3 linked regions of the Oryzias latipes genome follow. The protein of the gene in region 2 binds, or shares a complex with, the protein of the main gene of each other region. Links are inferred from orthologs where the notes say so. Each region holds a gene or a part of one and is shown on either strand. Other genes may lie near its edges.

Region 1 (5,653 bases), on a different chromosome or scaffold from region 2:
TTTTCATCCAGACAGACGTAAAAGGTCCATTTTCAGGCAGTTCTGGTGTTGTTTCTCCTCTCCGCTCCGGCTGCTGTCGCTGCTCTTCGGAGGCTTTTCATCCTCGTCACTGTGGCTGTGAGAGGAGCTGCTCCCGGCGCTCCGCGCTGATGAAAAAACGCAGTTTCCTGGGCAACAGCCTGACCTCCACAGGCATGGCTTCGTACTCCTCGTTGTCGATGTTGAAGAAGCCAGAGACGCCCTGCAGGGGTTTACGCACAAACATTCACATCAAGGAGAAAGAGCTGAGAGAAGAAAGCATTTTTCTGAAATCTCCCACCTCTGGTAGTTTGAGCTGGCAGGCTCCGGCCTCCAGTTTGGTCGAATTTTGTGTGAAAGCTGTCGGATCCGCCTCTTTTTTGCTCCTTTACAATGACAAATCGATGCAAACAGAAACTTTTAAAAACACTTTAGTGGACGCTTTGAACGCAGCTGACTGATAAAAGAGGAAGTTCCTAACCCCACGCTGATGAACTCCCCCACGGTGAAGCTGTCGGGCTCTGCCCGGATCACCATGGAGTCATGGAGGCGCTGCAACGCAAAACAACCAATTTTAACGTGCGAGGGGCGATCTTAGCAGTGATTCAAAGTCACACCCACCCTCTCCACCGGGTTCTTGTTGTGCGTTTGAACGTACAGCTCCACCGTGGCCAGCTGTTGCTCCTCCCACTTCTCCGCCACCTCCACTTTAGGAGGCTCTGAGCAGATGAGCCGGCAGAACACAAATAAATACGACATTACTGTGTGATCTTCTGCAACACAATCACACAAGCTCACCTTTAACCGGGGGGTTCCAGTAGCTTTTTAGTCGGCGCACAATGCGGCGGAGCAGGTTGGGCCTGGGGGGTTTCTGAGGGGGCAGATCGGGGGGTCGGAGACTGGGAGCCAGGTATGAAATTGAAAGTTGTCGGACCAGGGGCCACTCCTGCGAAAAGGCAAAAAAGAAAAAAGCAGGTGTAAACGAAACGGCATCACACTGCAGTGACATAGAACGGTGTCTGTTTGTACTGTTTATGTTGTTTTTTTAAGTGTCACACAATCCTTTGTTTGTCCGCCTTGAACAAACTGAGCCGCTGGGCTCAGAGCAAGAACAGAAACATTTCTCTGATATTTGTTACGTTTAATGACCAAAATGTCAGAGACTGTTCATGAAATCATAATTGATTCATTTCCTTTTATTTTCAAACACCCAATAGTAAAATATCAGGATAAACAGACAAACAAAAAGGAGTGGGTAGAGGAGAAATCGTAATAATTCCCACCATATTCTTATATTTGATACATTTTTACATGTTAAACACTGAATAATTATTCACATAGACACAAAATAATTAAAGGAAAAGAAGCATCAAGGTACCAAAACAGCATCATTAATTCATGAATGTTTTTTTACATTTTCCCATTAAGCTTCTCGTTTTAGAATTTCCAAAATTCCAGTTTGTATTTTTATTTTTACTCTTTCCTCCGTGTTATTTCACAATTCTATTTGTTGGAAACACAGAATAAGGAATACTCCTTTCTTAGTGAAAAAAAAAGGTTTTATGTGAAGAAAATGTACCTTCAGAGTTTGAAACCAGTGCGCTGCGTTTGTCTTCAATGGTCCGAGGTACCAGTATCTGTTTGAAAGTGCATTAATCCATTTATTCGTATGCACGATCAATCGCGTAACCATGGTTACAGCCCAAACAACCATACTTGCTGATTGTGGCGGCCACGTCCCTGAAAGCCCCCCAACGCAGACCCATCAGAGCAAAGACGGGCTGATCTGTCTCTCCCTACAAAAAAAACACACACACGTCAGCACTGCAGCGTAAACTCACAGGGGTTTTTTGTAGGAAATATGAATGCTAAAAAGTAACTTATGCATTAAAATGTACATGTTTTTAACAGGAAAAAAAAATATTTTATTACTTTGATTTGCAGCACATCCAGAGGTACAGTTTCTCCTCTCAGAATCGACAGTGTGGCTGAAGTAATGTCCCTAAAAAGTATGTTTATCACATCAAATACAAGTTCATTTTAAACATTTTAAAAAGAGATTTTTGTTTTCAACTTACTTAACTTTGTTGTCGCTGAGGAGATGAAGACTCGGACTCAGGGAATTGTGAGAACCCAGAGGAATGTACCCAATCGGGACGTTACTAAAACTATCCTGCAGTCAGAAAACATATCTCAGTTTGCATCTTATAAATAAACCTAAAAACATTTATGTAATTACATTATTAGTTTTGCATACTTGATCCGGCCTTCTCAGCAAACCTGTGATGACCTCCTGCAAGGTGCCATCTCCTCCAGCCACGATCAGCATGTCTGTCTGCTCCAACAACTCCATCAGTTTTTTGGCCTGACCTTCATAATCTGTCTGTGGAGGACATGATATGACATTCAGCAAGGCATGATGGGATATTTGAGGATTTCTACCTACCAAAGCCATGTTTACAAAATTCCATCAAACCTTCACTATTTTTATCTCCACACCGGCCAGGTGTAAAATTGGAGCTGCATTCTTTTCGAATAATTTGTTGGCTTTCCTGGAGAAAATTATAACAAATAAATGCATAATTAGTAGGAGGGAAAGGAAGAAATCAGATTTGCATTTTTGACGTCTTCTTACCCGCTGCAAGCTGCAGGATTTAAAATTACAGTTGCTTTCTTTAGTTGCTCCTGTGGGGCAATCTGTTGCCGTCCAAATTCCTAGAATAGCAATAATTATTAGAGGCATACTCACATGAAATAATAATAATAAAAGGACAGTTAGTTCACATTTACCCTGGCCAACTGACAAGCTTCTCTGCGCAGGAGACTGTCGCTAGAAACACATAAAACACAGAATAAAGAAAGAGCTACACACGTGAACCCAGTTTGGATGACATTTTCAAAGATAAATAAAAACTCACCAATGTTTACCATACAACCAATACCCCCCATAGGACAGGACGCACACAGCTAAAGTGGACTTTTTCCAGTGATTCCGTATCGTCTTAAATACTTCTACAACCCGAGCCATGATTATTAATCCCCACAAAAAAACAGTCTACCTCTGTCACATACTCAAAATGCAAAGATTCTGACGATTTAAAGTGTTTTTGTGACAGCGGTCAAAACTCACACTGCGTGGAAGGAGTGGTGTAACAATACAATCGTTCCGTCTAAAACAAGGCGGAAATAATATCTACACATCTAAAGCGGTCGCTTTTTAAATAAAAAATATGAGCTTATTTTTGCATATTACCATTAACTATTAATTAAACAATACAAGTTCACAAAATATGAATATATGTAAGATGTTTTCCTTGATTTCATTTTTGAAATTGTAGTGTTCACACACTTCATTATATACTACAACTCCCACAGGGCACGGTTGCCCAAATCTTTCCGAGGACCCCGCCTGCACTAATAGTACAATCCTATTTTAAAATATTTAATGAATATTTTACAGGAAAAAAATGTGTTTGATTACATAAATTTTAAATGATGAGTGACATAATCAACAAATTAAAAATATATCTTCTGGATTAAACAATTTATCGTGTTAGATTTCAAACGGGCACATGCGCAGCATCTTACGTCCAGGTTTGATCCTGAGCTGATCATGGCGGGGCAGATGGCGGTAAATTTAGGTAAAGACTCTTTTTGAACCTTTGATTACAAATGTGTTTGTTTTAATTATTATTTAGGTGTAGGTTCGTGTAACCTTGTCCGGCGTTTCTGTTGTAGCGCGTTTTTACCCGTTTGAGTCATTCCAAGTATGGCACTGTTTGCTACTTTAGCCTAGCTTCGTTCATCATCATGTCAGGCCAAAGGAAGCTAGTTTGACTCAGGTTCTAGTCAAGTTAAGACAGATCGAGGCCATAAGACAGACTTGTGGCGACCGGGAATGTTCAGTTAATTAAAGTTATAAGAAAATGACAATAATTAAAGTCCATCAATTAAAAAATTCAGTCCAATATTGCGACTTAATTCAATTTGTATTCATGTGAAAATAAACGTCTCATGGATGGATTATATGCCAAAATATGCTGGCAAATTAGTTATGTTCATAATCTCTAAACTAATAAGTTTAAACTCTTGCTATGCATTGAAAAAGGTTTATCAGTTTTTCTGCTCATCAAAATATATAAATATTCAAGTGATCATTCATTATTAATTCTAAATATTAGATAAAGACTCTTGCATTATGGAAACTGAAAGATTCAGGGCAGATAGTTGATAAAATTAGTCATTTTCTCTTCAAACTAAAGCTTTGAGAAGCAAGTGGCTTTTTCTGAAGACCTATATGTTCTGTAAAAAGAAAAGTCTGAGACCGTGACATGTATGTAAGGTTTGTGTTAAAATGAGAGATTCAAGAATGAAATTAATCTGATTGGGCAGGAAGATGTTTGTTTTATTAAACTTGTTATGTTTTTTTAAATCCTACATTAGGGGTGTGTATCTTTTTCTCTGACATGATTTGATACGCTTCTCAATACATGGTCCAGCCCAATACTTTTACCCAAATGGATACAATCTAGATATATTTTACGCTTTTGGCGTTTAAAACCGTAAATTAAAATGTCTTTTAACAGAGAAACGGTTTTTCCCTAACTGGGAATTTTATTTTAAGGGAGAAAAAATCTAAATGTCTTTGATGTAGCAAGTTTAAACATTCTTTTATACTGTTTTTTTTTCTGTGTCTCATTTTAATTTGTTCAGGCATCATTTAAAGGGGAAAAAGGGTTTATCCTATGTTTAGTGCAAACACCTGGCATGCCTTGCTGGGGCCAGTTGGAATAAAGCCAAACTTTATCAGAGAAACAAAGTTTACCTGAAACGGATCATTTACTTCCTGATCGAATTGATCGACTTTTTACCATCTTAATCGTGTTCTTAGCTGTGGTTTTGTGATCCTCTGGGTTTTTTTTTTCATCCCTTTTTTTTTTTTTAACGAAGATTTACTGTCATGATCTCTGAAGGGAGCAGGTAAAAGGAAAAAGATGGATTTTCTGAGGTTGTCTCTGCTGGAGGTTTCCGCCTACTTTTCCCCTAAGAGCAGGCTTTCCTCTCCACGGTTGAAACCCTTTAAATAGTGTGTGTTGGCCACTCATTTAGGCTGCCATTAAAATTCTAACAGGACAAATAGACTTTTTTCAACATAATCAGGATTAAATTGGATGGAAATCAAATCAAACTGTATTTATTAAAAAGCGCTTCTCATACATTGCGGAACTCAAAGTGCTTTAAAATTTATGATTTGGAATTACTTTGATTTGTTTTGTCCTTTATTTTTTGACTAAATATCAAGACTTTTTTTTTTCTTCTGACCACCATATCAAGCAAATGAAGCCCAAACGTGGACATTATTCCTGCTCAATCTGGGTTGTTCCTGCATCTTAGTTTGTGGGGGTGACAGTTTAGGAGGGTGTTGATATGGAGAGAACTCAAACATCTCGTCAGTAGAGTGAAAAATAATTGTGAAAATATCTGTGTAAACGTCCTTTTGACCCCTTCAGGAGCCAGTCTGTGGGGGCCACTCAAAGAGCTCTGGGAGACTGTAGATGGAGCTATCCTGAGGAGACAGACGGAGAGTGTCCACCTGTTGGACCTGCAGCTGAAAAAGCACAAACCACACTTTCTC
Region 2 (5,802 bases):
GAAGTTTCTAAATTTTTTAGCATTCAGGCAAAATCTAAACGTAAATTAGAAGAAGAAATTATCTCTGAAATTACTGAACTCTCAAGTTTACCACCAGAAAACCTACATGAGGAGCATGTTTTTTATTTTTCAAAGTGTTCAGTGTTACAGTTAAATATAGATGCAAACATTACAAATAAAAAGCTTATTTCTAGTTTTTGTCATGATTATTACTTTAAAAGACAACATTTAGTCAGGAAGCAATGATTTCATTTTGTGATTCCTTGAATAACATAAATAAAGTCAGTGAAGAGGATAAATTGGCTTGTGATTCTGTCATTTCTTTACAGGAAGCTTCAGATGCTAATAACAATCTGAAAAACAACAAGTCCCCTGGGAACGACGGAATAACAGCAGAATTTTATAAGCTTTTCTCAAAAATCTTAACCCCATTTTTATTGAATGTTTACACAGAAAGGATCACAAATATGACTCTTCCAGCCAGCATGACTCAGGGGGTTATTTCCCTGATCCCCAAACCCAACAAAGATACTTTGCTAATAGATAACTGGAGACCTATTAGTCTACTTAATAATGGTTATAAAATTGTTGCCACAATGAGAATGAAAAGTGTTGTTGATGCAGTAGTAGATGAGAATCAGTCAGGTTTCATGAAAGACAGATGCATCTCCAACAATCTCATAGATTATTCAGACTCATCAGTGATGATGAAAGCTTCACTCTGCTCCTTGATTTTTGTAAGGCATTTGATACCGTTGAGCATCCTTTTCTATTCTACTGTCTGGAAAAGATTGGTTTTGGGGATTTTTGGGGATATTTGTCTAGTGCTGTTAAAAGCCTCTACGCAAACGGAAATAGTTCTGTTAAGTTGAGTTCTGGCACCACTCGCAGATTCTGTCTCCAGAGAGGAATTAGACAGGGACGTCCTGTCTCTGTGTACCTGTTTCTTCTGGTTGCACAAGTTTTCTGCAGACATATTCAATCGAATAATATTAATGGGATTTCTCTTGCTGGTAAAAACATTCTTATAAGTCAGCTGGCAGATGACACCACATTATTCTTGAAAAACTCCTCACAGGTTGCCAGGGTTCTTCAAGTTATAGATACATTTTCAAAAGCATCTGGACTTTATCTAAACCTAAAGAAATGTGAGTTATTTCCTCTCAATGTGCTCTAACATCCATAAATAGTATAGTAGTCAAAGAAAATGTCACATATTTGGGATTGCAGATAACTAAAGATCAAAAACAAAGAGAACTGAATAACTATATTCTATGATTGCAAAAGCACAAAATCAGTTTAACTGCTGGCTACAAAGAGATCTTTCACCAAAAGGTTGTGCTCTCTTAGCAAAAGCAGAAGGGATTTCCAGACTAGTTTACATTGCTTCCTCACCATCTCTGGACAGTAAAAATGCAAAAAGGATTGATCAGATACTTTTTAATTGTCTTTGGAGAAACAGAATCCACTATGTTCGAAAGTCAGTAGTAATTAATTCATCAAAAGACGGAGAACTTGAATTTCTTGACTTTTCCACTCTAAATAATGTCCTCAAAATTAAATAGTTAAAAAACTTCATTTTGGAATTTCATACCGAAATATATATTTGATAAGTTTGGAGGTCTGTCATTTCTTCTATTATGTTATTTCAAAATAGGGAAAATTCCTTTGAAGCTGTCTAATTTTCATAAGCAGGTTTTATTGGCATGGACTTTGATCTACAAACATAATGTTTCTCCTCATCGCTACTATATTTGGAATAATGCAGATATTCTATACAAAAACAAGAGGATTTTTCTTGAAAATTGGTTTGAAAAGAACATTTTTCTTGTAAATCCACCATGTAACCTGATGTCATCTGTTGAGTTTCTGTCCACCTATAGTCTGCATGTCTCCCCTGCAGAGCTTGCATTGGTTACTGGAGCCATCCCAGGTGCTGTTAGACTTCTGTGGAGCAGTTCTCCTTCAAATACTCCATGTTCTCCTCCCAAATGAACAGAATTGTGGTGTGGAAAGATTTGTTTTTCAGCTGGCAGGAATAATCAAAGTATCCGTTCTCTGTTTCAAAATGAGATTACAACAAAACCGTATGTTATCTCACACTGGAATAGGTTTGGCTGTAGAATTCAGGGGGAAAAGGTTTGGTCCCTGCCCCAAAAGTATGTCATCACCAAGAAAATCAGAGAAAATCAGAGAAATATCTTTCGAAATTCTTCATAAATCTTATCCAGTGAAACACTTCATTACCAAGTTTAAAAAAAAGAAATCTGAAAATAAATTGTTCATTTTGTCATTCCTCACCAGAAACTGTGTCTCATCTTTTTTGGGTTTGCTCCTTCACTCAAGTATTTTGGAAAGATTTGATAGATTTTAAAATCTATGTGAAGATTATAGATTATTTTATGATACCATATTATTTTTGGACATTTTACACATAGGGAAACTTGATGCAGAGAAAATATATGTAGTTAATTTACTTATAATTATGGCTAAATACTTTATACACAAGTGTAAATATGACAACAAAAAAAAACGGTATTTTATGTTTTCCAGAAAGAAATGGCACTGTGTGTAAACAGTATAACAAAAAAGCTGTCATTACAGTTGAAACATGGTCTCTTCTGAAAAAAACAGATTCCTTTGCCTTTATTATTTTTGCTTAACCTGTTTTACATCATCATTATTATCGTTTTTCAATTTTTTTGTTCATTTTCCTGGTGAATGTGAAAATGGTATTTTGCACACTGTGTGGTGGAGTTTTGTGTTTGGTATTTTGTATGTGCATTATTAGTTAATAAAGTTAAAATATAAATAAGTGGGTTAAAGAAAGTGAAATGCATCTGCTGGGAATGAATGAGGAGCCTCCTCTGCTCCCAGGAGGTCCAGCTGCAAACATCAGTAGACACAGAACAACAGCGCTGCCTTTGCTTTGGTCAGCACTAAATTACCGGCATGTTTTCAGGTCAGAGGAAGTCACGCAGGTCCCTTAGGGTGACATTAATGGAAAAAAGCAGCCATTAGAAGCCCTGGGCATGACATAAACAAGAAATACATTTATAAATCTGTATAGATTCGATTGTGGCCAACATTTTAGTAGCATTTTGTGTGCAAAAACAAATATTATGTGCACACTGCTTTTTTGTGTTGTGTGCACAGCTTATATAATAAAAACTTTAATTCCTATAATGTGAGGCTACAACATGTCAATATGTATGCACAAAATGCGAATGTGAGAATACAGAATACTAACTCCTGGCCACAGACGATCAGAATGAGGTGACTTAAAAAAAGATATTCAGGGTTCCGTATGGCTGTAGATTATGGCGAAGCTGTGCTGAAAAAATCCCATTCATTGTTGTGTCCGTCTCATGATGTCAAGCAAAGGCCTAAATGGATCAGGCTGTTTGTCTCTGGCGCTGAAGACCCTCTTTAACACGGCCATGGATGGTGGTCGGGAATGGATGATGGTGCTGCAGAGTGTGTGTCCGCATGCATGTCATATGACGGTACACAGAGATGAAGACCTACCGGTTGTACATGTCCGCCATCATCTCCACCTCCAGCTCCGCCGCCAGCTGCTGCGCTTTCACAGGATCCATTCTCGCCCTCCGTGTCGTTTCACAACCGAGCCCAGCGCCGGTGACCCTCTCCAGCTGGATAACAGCAAGCCGCGATGCTACTGTCACCTTCAAATCCTAACACACGTGTGATGTCGCGTCTGACTTCCGGTATAAATAAAGTTTACTTTAAAAAGGTCGAGTCTAAATCAGCGCGCCCCCCTGTGGATCATATCTGTACTACAGAGCTTTGACCGGACATGAGAACTGGACTTAGGAGCAAAGTCAACTTTTAGGATTCAAATTAATTCCCTTTTCATTTTTACATGGACAACATCCTGTTTAGTTTTGCTGATTATGAAAATAAGCTAAATTCCAAATTCTACTTGATACATTTCCTGATGCTATTAGCAAATGTTCAAACAAAAGTACAGGTGGAGAGGATGTCATTTTTTCAAGCCCCTGAACCGTGTGCATGGGGCCTGCTAGTGCTGTTCAGGTGATAAATGTGCTCCAGGCATGAAGCCTGTTAGAAATGAGGAAATGATACAGCTTAGTTTGTGTTGACGTCCTACGAAGAACTGATGCTTTTCGTACATCTCCCGTGTGTGCAGCACTTCTGTGCAGTCAGTAAGGAGCCGGTGCGTGCACCTCAGACTAGAGAGCGACATTAAGGCACAGCATGAGACCATAACTGCACTTTACTTGCATTATTCTTACAAATAACTTACCATTTCCCCACACACAACAATGGTACCTTCCATTTTCATAATCATAACATCCCTTTAGGTGCCTGTAGGAGCCTCAAGTGAATTGCAAGACAAACCTGAGCTCCCTGTAAGATGTGGCTGCTCCTCTCTCTGCCCCCCCATGGGCACCGACAACCCTAACACTTGCAGCACCCCATCGGGTGAGCCCCCGCACGGGTGCATGTGACTGCAGCATTAACAAAGGGCAAAGGCAGGGAACACCCGGGACAGCACACCAGTCCACTGAAGAACACAACCACACAGACAAACATACACTCGCACTCAAAGGACAATCCAAGAAAGCAATCCTGAAGCTTTTGGACTGTGAGAGGAAGTCAGAGAAGACCAGAGAAGACCCACGCATGAACCAAGAGGACACACAATCTCCACTCAGAAAGAAACCAGCCAGAATTCAAACCAGGACCAACCTCCACAACTTCTGTGCTAGAAAAAAAAGCACAACCATGAAAACTGACTTTTTCTTTTTTTAATAAACTGTACATAAAATATGCCATGTTTTTTTTAAATTCAGCATCAAAACAAAGAGCGGACTCCACAATGCACATTTACTTCCAGCAGCTCAACCGAAAACAACTGAAAATTTTAGTGAAATGTCAAACCTATAGATAAAAAAAGAAAAACAACAGTCAGAACAGGCTTCCTTTAGTAAACTACAGAAACTGACACGTCAGTTTGAACGGTGTGTTTGGAACAGAACGAGGTGACATGTTTTGCTTCGAAAGAGCTTGCAGAAAACCCAACCTAAAAAGAAATCAACGACACATGGCACACAGATCTGAGAATGCTCCTAGGCCTCATCTCCAGTCACATCAATCTCATTCACATCTTCCTCTTCTTCATCTACGGTTACGACCATGCTATTGAGTACAGCTCCACGAGGAGCCCCGTTGTCTGGAGAATATAGCACAACATCGATATCTTCCTCCTCCTCGTCGTCCTCCTCTCTTTGATCAACCAGCAGCACAGTTCTCTGGGGGGTTTGAGGCTGAGAGTTGTGGTCCACGGACACGTTGGACTGGAGAGACGAGCAGTAAGACGCACGTCCATCAGTGGAGACCGGCTGGTCTCCTTTGAAATCTCCACCACAACAGACCCCTCCTGTAAAGATGTTAATTTAAAAAAACACAGAACTACCAGATAGGAAAAATATTTAGAGACACATTAATAAAATAATGACAACATCCCAGCATCCACCTCTCAGGTTCAGCAGACCAGCCAAGCTCATCACTGAGAGGACAAGCATTTTGGGGTTTTCACCCCACGCTAAGAAAATCCCAACATTTGACCAGAATGAGTTGTATCATCTTATCCCAAACTTTTTCCATCACCGACATAAATACTTCGGCATATTGATTAACTCACTGATAACTGCTAAAAAAAAGAGAGAATTGCAGCACCAATGATTTTCTAATGAACACTACTGGCACTCCTAAAACACAACACAGGCTTTTTGATTTTGGCTTAAGGCCCGTACA
Region 3 (5,761 bases), on a different chromosome or scaffold from region 2:
CAGCACACTGTGCAACAACACAAAACAGAACAGGACAATTATGACGTTGTCGTTGGACTGACAATGACCGTTTTTAGCTGATTATTAGTTATCAGACAAGCAATATTTGGTGTAGCTAACGTTTTAAACATATTTGTTGTCTTTTTAAGTTTCCTTTCATCCATTTAAATCAAAAGAACAAGTATTTATCCTTTAAAAACACAGCTAAGCTATTTAGTGCACTAGTATTCTGACAGATTCTGTTTCATAGGATTAAAGTAGTTCAGATTCAAAGCTCTAGAAAGTCTTAAAGTCTAGAATTTCTTGTCAAATCTTCTCCTTTCCTTCTTTTCCTGAATTGTTGTTTTCCAGCTCCTTGTTTGGGGGGTCGACAGCATCAGGGCAGGCTTTGTGTACGGCATTGATGGGTTTTTTAACAGCAAACCCAGGAAACGTCCCATCCCAGAGTTTTAATTTGCACCCAACCAAACTATTGGGAAGTTTCTGTGCGCTTCACCTGGTAGACGAGTGTATAGGTTAAAGCCCAAACAAAATCAGGCAGAAAGGAGAGGCATTCCTGCAAACTCACAAAAGTGAACATTTACTGGAAGGTTTTTGCTCTGAAGCCTCATCATCAGGTAAAAGGACCTAAATGAGGAGCAGATGACCTCTGAAGGGTCATGCAGACCATAAATGAATGCAGCCACATCAACAAATATCTACAGTGTTCATACTATAAAAACAATATTGAAATATGAAATAAACGAAACAAGGGTAAATGACGAGCCCTTTTCAATGGGGATAGCATGAAAAGTAGAGGACGAAGCAATTTGCACTTGTATGATACAAACACGTGAGAATTGTACTCTAAATATATTCTAAACAAACACACATGTTAATATAAAACATGTCATTAAATGTATAAAAATCAATTATAATTTCATTTTTTTTATCATTTTTAACATGTTTTCCTTTAACTGCATGTATGGAGTCTGGTTTTAGGTCACATGACATATGATACTTTAGTTAAAAATAAGAAAAATACTCTGGCAGCAGGTATGTGCCGATTTATCAGTCTGGCTTAAGGTTTCAATCACGGCTTCACCGTCACTTTGTGTGCTTGGTGACATGAGTGCCATCGATATAGAAGAAGGATTAGCATCTATCATTTTCACAACTCTTTGTATTGCCAAAAAAACTATTTTAATAAATTGGAAAAACAAGAAAAATATAAACATAAGTCAACAGAGAAATCTGCTGTTTGATCATATCAGCTTGGAAAAAATGTCAGCCCAAAGCTCAAGTAACTTTGAAAGAATTCGGTCTCTCTGGTCTCCTATGGTTGACTCCATGACTTAAGGGGTGGGGGGCTTGGTTGTCGCTGCTCCTTGCCCTTCTGCCGTGGTTTGGGGTGGGGGTCGGGGCCTCCGGTGCCTGGCGGGGGCGGTGGGGGCTCCGTTGGTCGGGGGGTCGGGTCCGGTGCCTGGGTGGGGCGGGCTGGGGCGCTGCGTGGTCCTCTGGGCTTGGGTGTGCGTGGTGGGGGGTGGGGTGGTGGTCTGGCTTGGCTTGGGGGGGTGGTCCCTTTGCCTGCGCTGGGGGGGGTTGGCGGGGGCCCTGCTCGGGGGGGGGGGGGGGTGCCAGCGGCGCCGGACGGGCTGCCCATCTGCACCTGGGGCTGGGATCGGCCCTTCCCTGGCTCTGGGGCGGGACGGGACAACCCTCTCGGGGCCCCCGGTCGCTCTGGGTGTCATCCGCTTCGGCTGCGGGGTCTGGGGTGGGGTGGGGGGCTTGTCGGCCCTGTCCTGTGGGGGGGCGTTCTGGGGGGGAGGGGGGGCCATTATTGGTACGGGTCGGGGGGGCTAACGGGTCGGGGTCTCCGCTGAGGCAATCAGTGGTTGCCTCGGCCGGTTGGCCTCCTCGGTCCCGTCAAGGCCTGACCAGAGCTCCTCTAGGGCCGGCGTCTGGGGGTGGGGGCCTGGGCTTGCTCCGGGGGGGCGGCGCTCTCTGGCTCCTCTCTCTCTGTGTGGGGTGGGTGGTGCCGGGCCTGGGGTGTCTGCGCCTCCGGGAGTGGGGCCCCTGGGCTGGGTGGCCCTGGCCTCTTTGCTGGGGGACAGCTGTTTGACAGTCTACCAGCTGTCCCCAACTTACCCCCTTCCTCATATAACCTCATATTAGGGTGAGGGGGTGGGGGGGTCTAGCCTGCGATGCACCTTGGGGGGGGGCTACTTGGCAGTGGCCCCCCTCCTATGGTTGCCGTATGGAGTGGGCCCCCCCTCTTTCGGTTTTATTTGCACCTTAGACATGAAGGGTCCTTGGTAGGGGGGGTGCTTGGACATCACTGCAAGCAAGCAGCAGACGTCCTCCTGGCACCCTACCCGCTAATTTTAACCGCACCTTAGACATTTAGGGCCCCTTGGTGGGGAGGGTGAGGGGACATCATTGTGAGTAATCAGGAGATGTCCCCCTAGTGCCCTACTCGCCAATTTTAACTGCACCCTCCTTAGTACACACACCCCTCCCCCTTCAATATATACATTCCAACATAAACACACACACATACACACACACACCCTCTCATACACACATACACGCACACACATTTTGCAAGGAAGGTGGGACCTGGGTCCATCTGTCCCCTACCCCTTCCCTGGTGGGGGGTGCGTGCCCCTTGGCGATGGCGGCCGTGTCCCTTGGGTGTCTGGGGCTGTGGGCGTCCTTCTCCGGTGGGGCCCTGCGTTGGGCTCTTCCGGCGCGGCGGGGGGGCTGCTTTCCTGGCTGGGCTGGGGCGGCGCTCTCTTTCCCTCCGCGCCTCCCTGCTCTCTGGCTCTGGGGGCCTCGCGGCGGTCCTGCTGGCCCTGGCCTGGGTGGCGGTCTTGGTCGCCCGGGGGGCGGTCGTTCCCTGCCTGTTCCCGTGTGGCGTTGGGGGAATTCCGGCTGCCGCCGCTGCTGCGGCGGGGGTCTGGGTGTGGGGGTGGCTGGGCGCTCCTCCTCCTTCTTTTCACATTCCACCATCCATTTTAGAAGAACATAAACACTCACCTGAGCACAGGTGTTAGCTCACTTTGCACTTATAGTTTGCGTGATTGAATGAATGAAAGATTTCACACTAGTTGGTTTAAAGACATAGGTATGCGTTCGTGAACACTATCTGTTTTGTGTACATGTTGACATGTGAACATTTTTTGCAGCTAGCAGGTGTGTTAAGAAAAAAAGAGAAAGAAGAGGAAAGAGAAGAAAAAAGAAGAAAAAAAAATAAAAATAGAATAGAATCAGCTGTTGCAGCTTTAGAAACACCAGACACTGTTTAACCCTTGTGCTATCTTAGGCACTTTAACATTGGGAGTTGGGTCATTCAGACCCCACTATACAGTGCGCCGAACTATTACATGAAATCGTTCCACCTTTATCCACCTTTGTCATGGTAGGGATAAGACGTCAATGGTCATCTTGATAGGATAGCACGAGGGTTACAATGTTGAAGGGATGTTTCTGTACAGAAAGTCCAACAGAGGTTTCAGAGCTCTTTGGTGCCCCCTGCTGGTTTACTCTGAATTTTCCTATTTTAACTTGTAAATAGTTTCTGACTTCTTTTATTTTTCTTTCTGACTTTGGCCTCAAATGAATATTGCATGAACTTTCCTGTTGCGCTTGTGTTTGGTTTGCAGCACAGGGGCAAATCCGACTGGAAGAACGCCGTTTACAGCGGCTGTGTAACCGGAGGTGTCATTGGATTTCGAGGTTTGCAGCTTGTTTTTTTTACTGACCTCTTTGTTCTGTTTTCCTCACTGATGTTAAGTTTTCGTTGTTTTGTTTTTGCAGCCGGGCTGAAGGCTGGAGTTCTTGGATGTGGAGGATTTGCTGCTTTCTCTGCTGCCATCGAATACTATTTACGCTGAGTCATGCTTTGGAAGATGAGGACTTCCCTGCTGCACATGCAGACGCTCACTGAGGACAGTGGGATTGAGACGTTGGGCCGCACCGACAGAAATGAGACTTCTAGTTTCCTTTTATGTGGACTGAAGTGAGGCTTTCCATGTGCAACGGAGCATCCGACAGATTCATCTGGGGATCGGCCAGCAGCGTGTCTGGATGGAGACAAACGTTTCATTGTTTTCACATGGGAACTACAAATATATGTTCATAAACTATTTGTTTAAAAAAATTTTTTTTTTTTTTAAACCAAAGTCATCTATAAAGATGGAAAAAAAATGGAATTAAAACCTTACGGTTGGAAAAGCAGTTAAAAACATTTAATAAACATTAAAGTTGGTTTGCACTGGCTGTGCTGTACTTGCACAACAAACATACTTTTTCTAAAACATACATTTTTGTCAGGATAGGTCTGTGTGGTTACATGATTGCTGCTCTGTTTTTGCTGTGACCTCCTGAGGTTTTTGTCTTCTGGATCCTGACGCTCAGCTGATCCACCCCGGCTCCCAGAGGACGGATGTGGAGCATCGGTTCATCAAACCAGCGCTTCCCAACCCTGGTCCTCGGAGAACACTGTCCTGCACGTCTCTTTTGTTGTTCTTAACGTCACCTGATTCATTTCATTGTCAGCCTCATCAGAAGCCTGTAAATGACAGCAGGTGTGTTTGAACAGAAGAGGATTTCCCAAGAACCAGGTTTGGGAAACACTGGATTGAATGGTTCTATTGTATTTAATTAATAATAATACATTTTATTTAGAAAGAAATGCCCTTTACATTTTGAAAACAAAGAGTTAAATGTTGATTTCTATGTTTTGATAGTTAAAAGGTTTAAATTAAACTTGATTTCTCCGTTTTTAATGCTAAGTTTTTCTTATCTGCTCGAGGAAAACAATCAGTTGTTTAAACTCAAAGATGTTGAATGATCTTTTTAAAATTGCTGTATCAGATTCACCACCAGATGGCGCTCTAATCCACCCTGTGCAGAAAGATGCGTCCTCAAAAAGCTTTTAAAACATGGTGACCCAGTTAGAACCAAAAGATTTAGTGTTGTTCTTCATCACCACCACCATATTACTGAATAGAGTGATTTAGACAACACTACTCTCCATAAAAGTTTAAGAAGTGACAGAATTGAATTGTTCCAGTCAACTTTGTTGAGCATCCCCGTTTCTAAAGATCCAGTTTCAAAACTTAACATTTTTAAGTAAATGAAAAAAATAATTGACCTATTAGACTTAAATAGCCAAATGTTAAGTTTCAGAAAATGCACCTGAACATGATTTCTTTAAAATAGAATTTGAGGAAAAGAAGAAGGTGGTATGGATGCTGTTTAACCCTTTTGCTATCCTAGGCACTTTAACGTTGGGAGTGGGGTCATCTAGACCCACTAGACGGTGCTCTGAACCTTTTTTCTTCAATGATTTGTGATCTTCACTGGTGTCCATGGATTACATGAAATCTTTCCACCTTTGTCACGGTAGCAATGACACATCATTGTGAGGGTGGGGTCATCTAAGATATTACAAGGGTTAATAGATAACGGGGTCAGTTCTTCCTCAGCTTCATCATTTCAGGGAGTTCACTGCGTCATCATTCACTTTTATTTCTGCAAACAGATGTGAAGCATGCAGTAATAAAGGAGGACGAGTCCTCGTGACAGTTTGGGGAGGGTGCTGCTCACATCCAGGACCTCATCTGCTCGTCATCATCTCTGGTCAAGAAGGCCCAGAAATCTGAGTCCTACAGAAAACGGTCTCTCAAAGTTTTGCAGCTGCTTTGAGGAGTCATACAACTGTTTTTTTTTTTTTGGTTCTTCTGACCTTTTGGCGTTGAAGGGGAAGCTGCATTGT

The links.
Region 1: the proteins of timm10 (region 2) and agk are in contact, whole or in part, in a cryo-EM structure (PDB 7CGP), measured with the Homo sapiens proteins. The link is inferred for Oryzias latipes from reciprocal best matches to the Homo sapiens genes TIMM10 and AGK. Residues at the interface, in NP_036588.1 of Homo sapiens: Glu40, Glu42, Leu43, Ser44, Lys45, Gly46, Ser48, Arg53; in NP_060708.1 of Homo sapiens: Phe49, Gly50, Asn51, Gln52, Leu53, Ile54, Pro55, Pro56, Val60, Ser91, Gly92, Met93, Asp94, Val95.
Region 3: the proteins of timm10 (region 2) and timm22 are in contact, whole or in part, in a cryo-EM structure (PDB 7CGP), measured with the Homo sapiens proteins. The link is inferred for Oryzias latipes from reciprocal best matches to the Homo sapiens genes TIMM10 and TIMM22. Residues at the interface, in NP_036588.1 of Homo sapiens: Pro3, Ala6, Gln7, Leu9, Ala10, Ala11, Leu13, Glu14, Val15, Met17, Met18, Ala19, Tyr22, Ser44, Lys45, Gly46, Glu47, Arg53, His62, Glu63, Gly66, Leu69, Thr70, Ser73, Met74; in NP_037469.2 of Homo sapiens: Tyr25, Ser26, Leu28, Leu29, Gln30, Tyr31, Leu32, Val33, Arg40, Leu42, Leu47, Gly48, Glu67, Glu144, Ser145, Tyr146, Gly148, Ser150.

What each region holds. Positions count from the first base shown.
Region 1 is NC_019864.2:29,313,538-29,319,190, forward strand, and holds the start of agk (acylglycerol kinase, mitochondrial), read right to left. Parts: upstream 3,253-5,653; 5' UTR 3,047-3,252; coding exon 2,937-3,046; intron 2,849-2,936; coding exon 2,809-2,848; intron 2,734-2,808; coding exon 2,654-2,733; intron 2,571-2,653; coding exon 2,495-2,570; intron 2,402-2,494; coding exon 2,276-2,401; intron 2,192-2,275; coding exon 2,097-2,191; intron 2,021-2,096; coding exon 1,951-2,020; intron 1,815-1,950; coding exon 1,735-1,814; intron 1,656-1,734; coding exon 1,598-1,655; intron 965-1,597; coding exon 817-964; intron 738-816; coding exon 640-737; intron 571-639; coding exon 500-570; intron 405-499; coding exon 320-404; intron 242-319; coding exon 107-241; 3' UTR 1-106. Other genes in the region: nuclear pore complex protein Nup205, read left to right, coding at 3,632-3,659, 5,529-5,653. UniProt on the Homo sapiens protein: Lipid kinase that can phosphorylate both monoacylglycerol and diacylglycerol to form lysophosphatidic acid (LPA) and phosphatidic acid (PA), respectively. Does not phosphorylate sphingosine. Phosphorylates ceramide.
Region 2 is NC_019859.2:27,361,229-27,367,030, forward strand, and holds the start of timm10 (mitochondrial import inner membrane translocase subunit Tim10), read right to left. Parts: upstream 3,718-5,802; 5' UTR 3,600-3,717; coding exon 3,529-3,599; intron 1-3,528. Other genes in the region: uncharacterized protein LOC101170325, read right to left, coding at 5,115-5,425.
Region 3 is NC_019872.2:20,333,326-20,339,086, reverse strand, and holds the end of timm22 (mitochondrial import inner membrane translocase subunit Tim22), read left to right. Parts: intron 1-3,644; coding exon 3,645-3,717; intron 3,718-3,798; coding exon 3,799-3,875; 3' UTR 3,876-4,261; downstream 4,262-5,761. UniProt on the Homo sapiens protein: Essential core component of the TIM22 complex, a complex that mediates the import and insertion of multi-pass transmembrane proteins into the mitochondrial inner membrane. In the TIM22 complex, it constitutes the voltage-activated and signal-gated channel.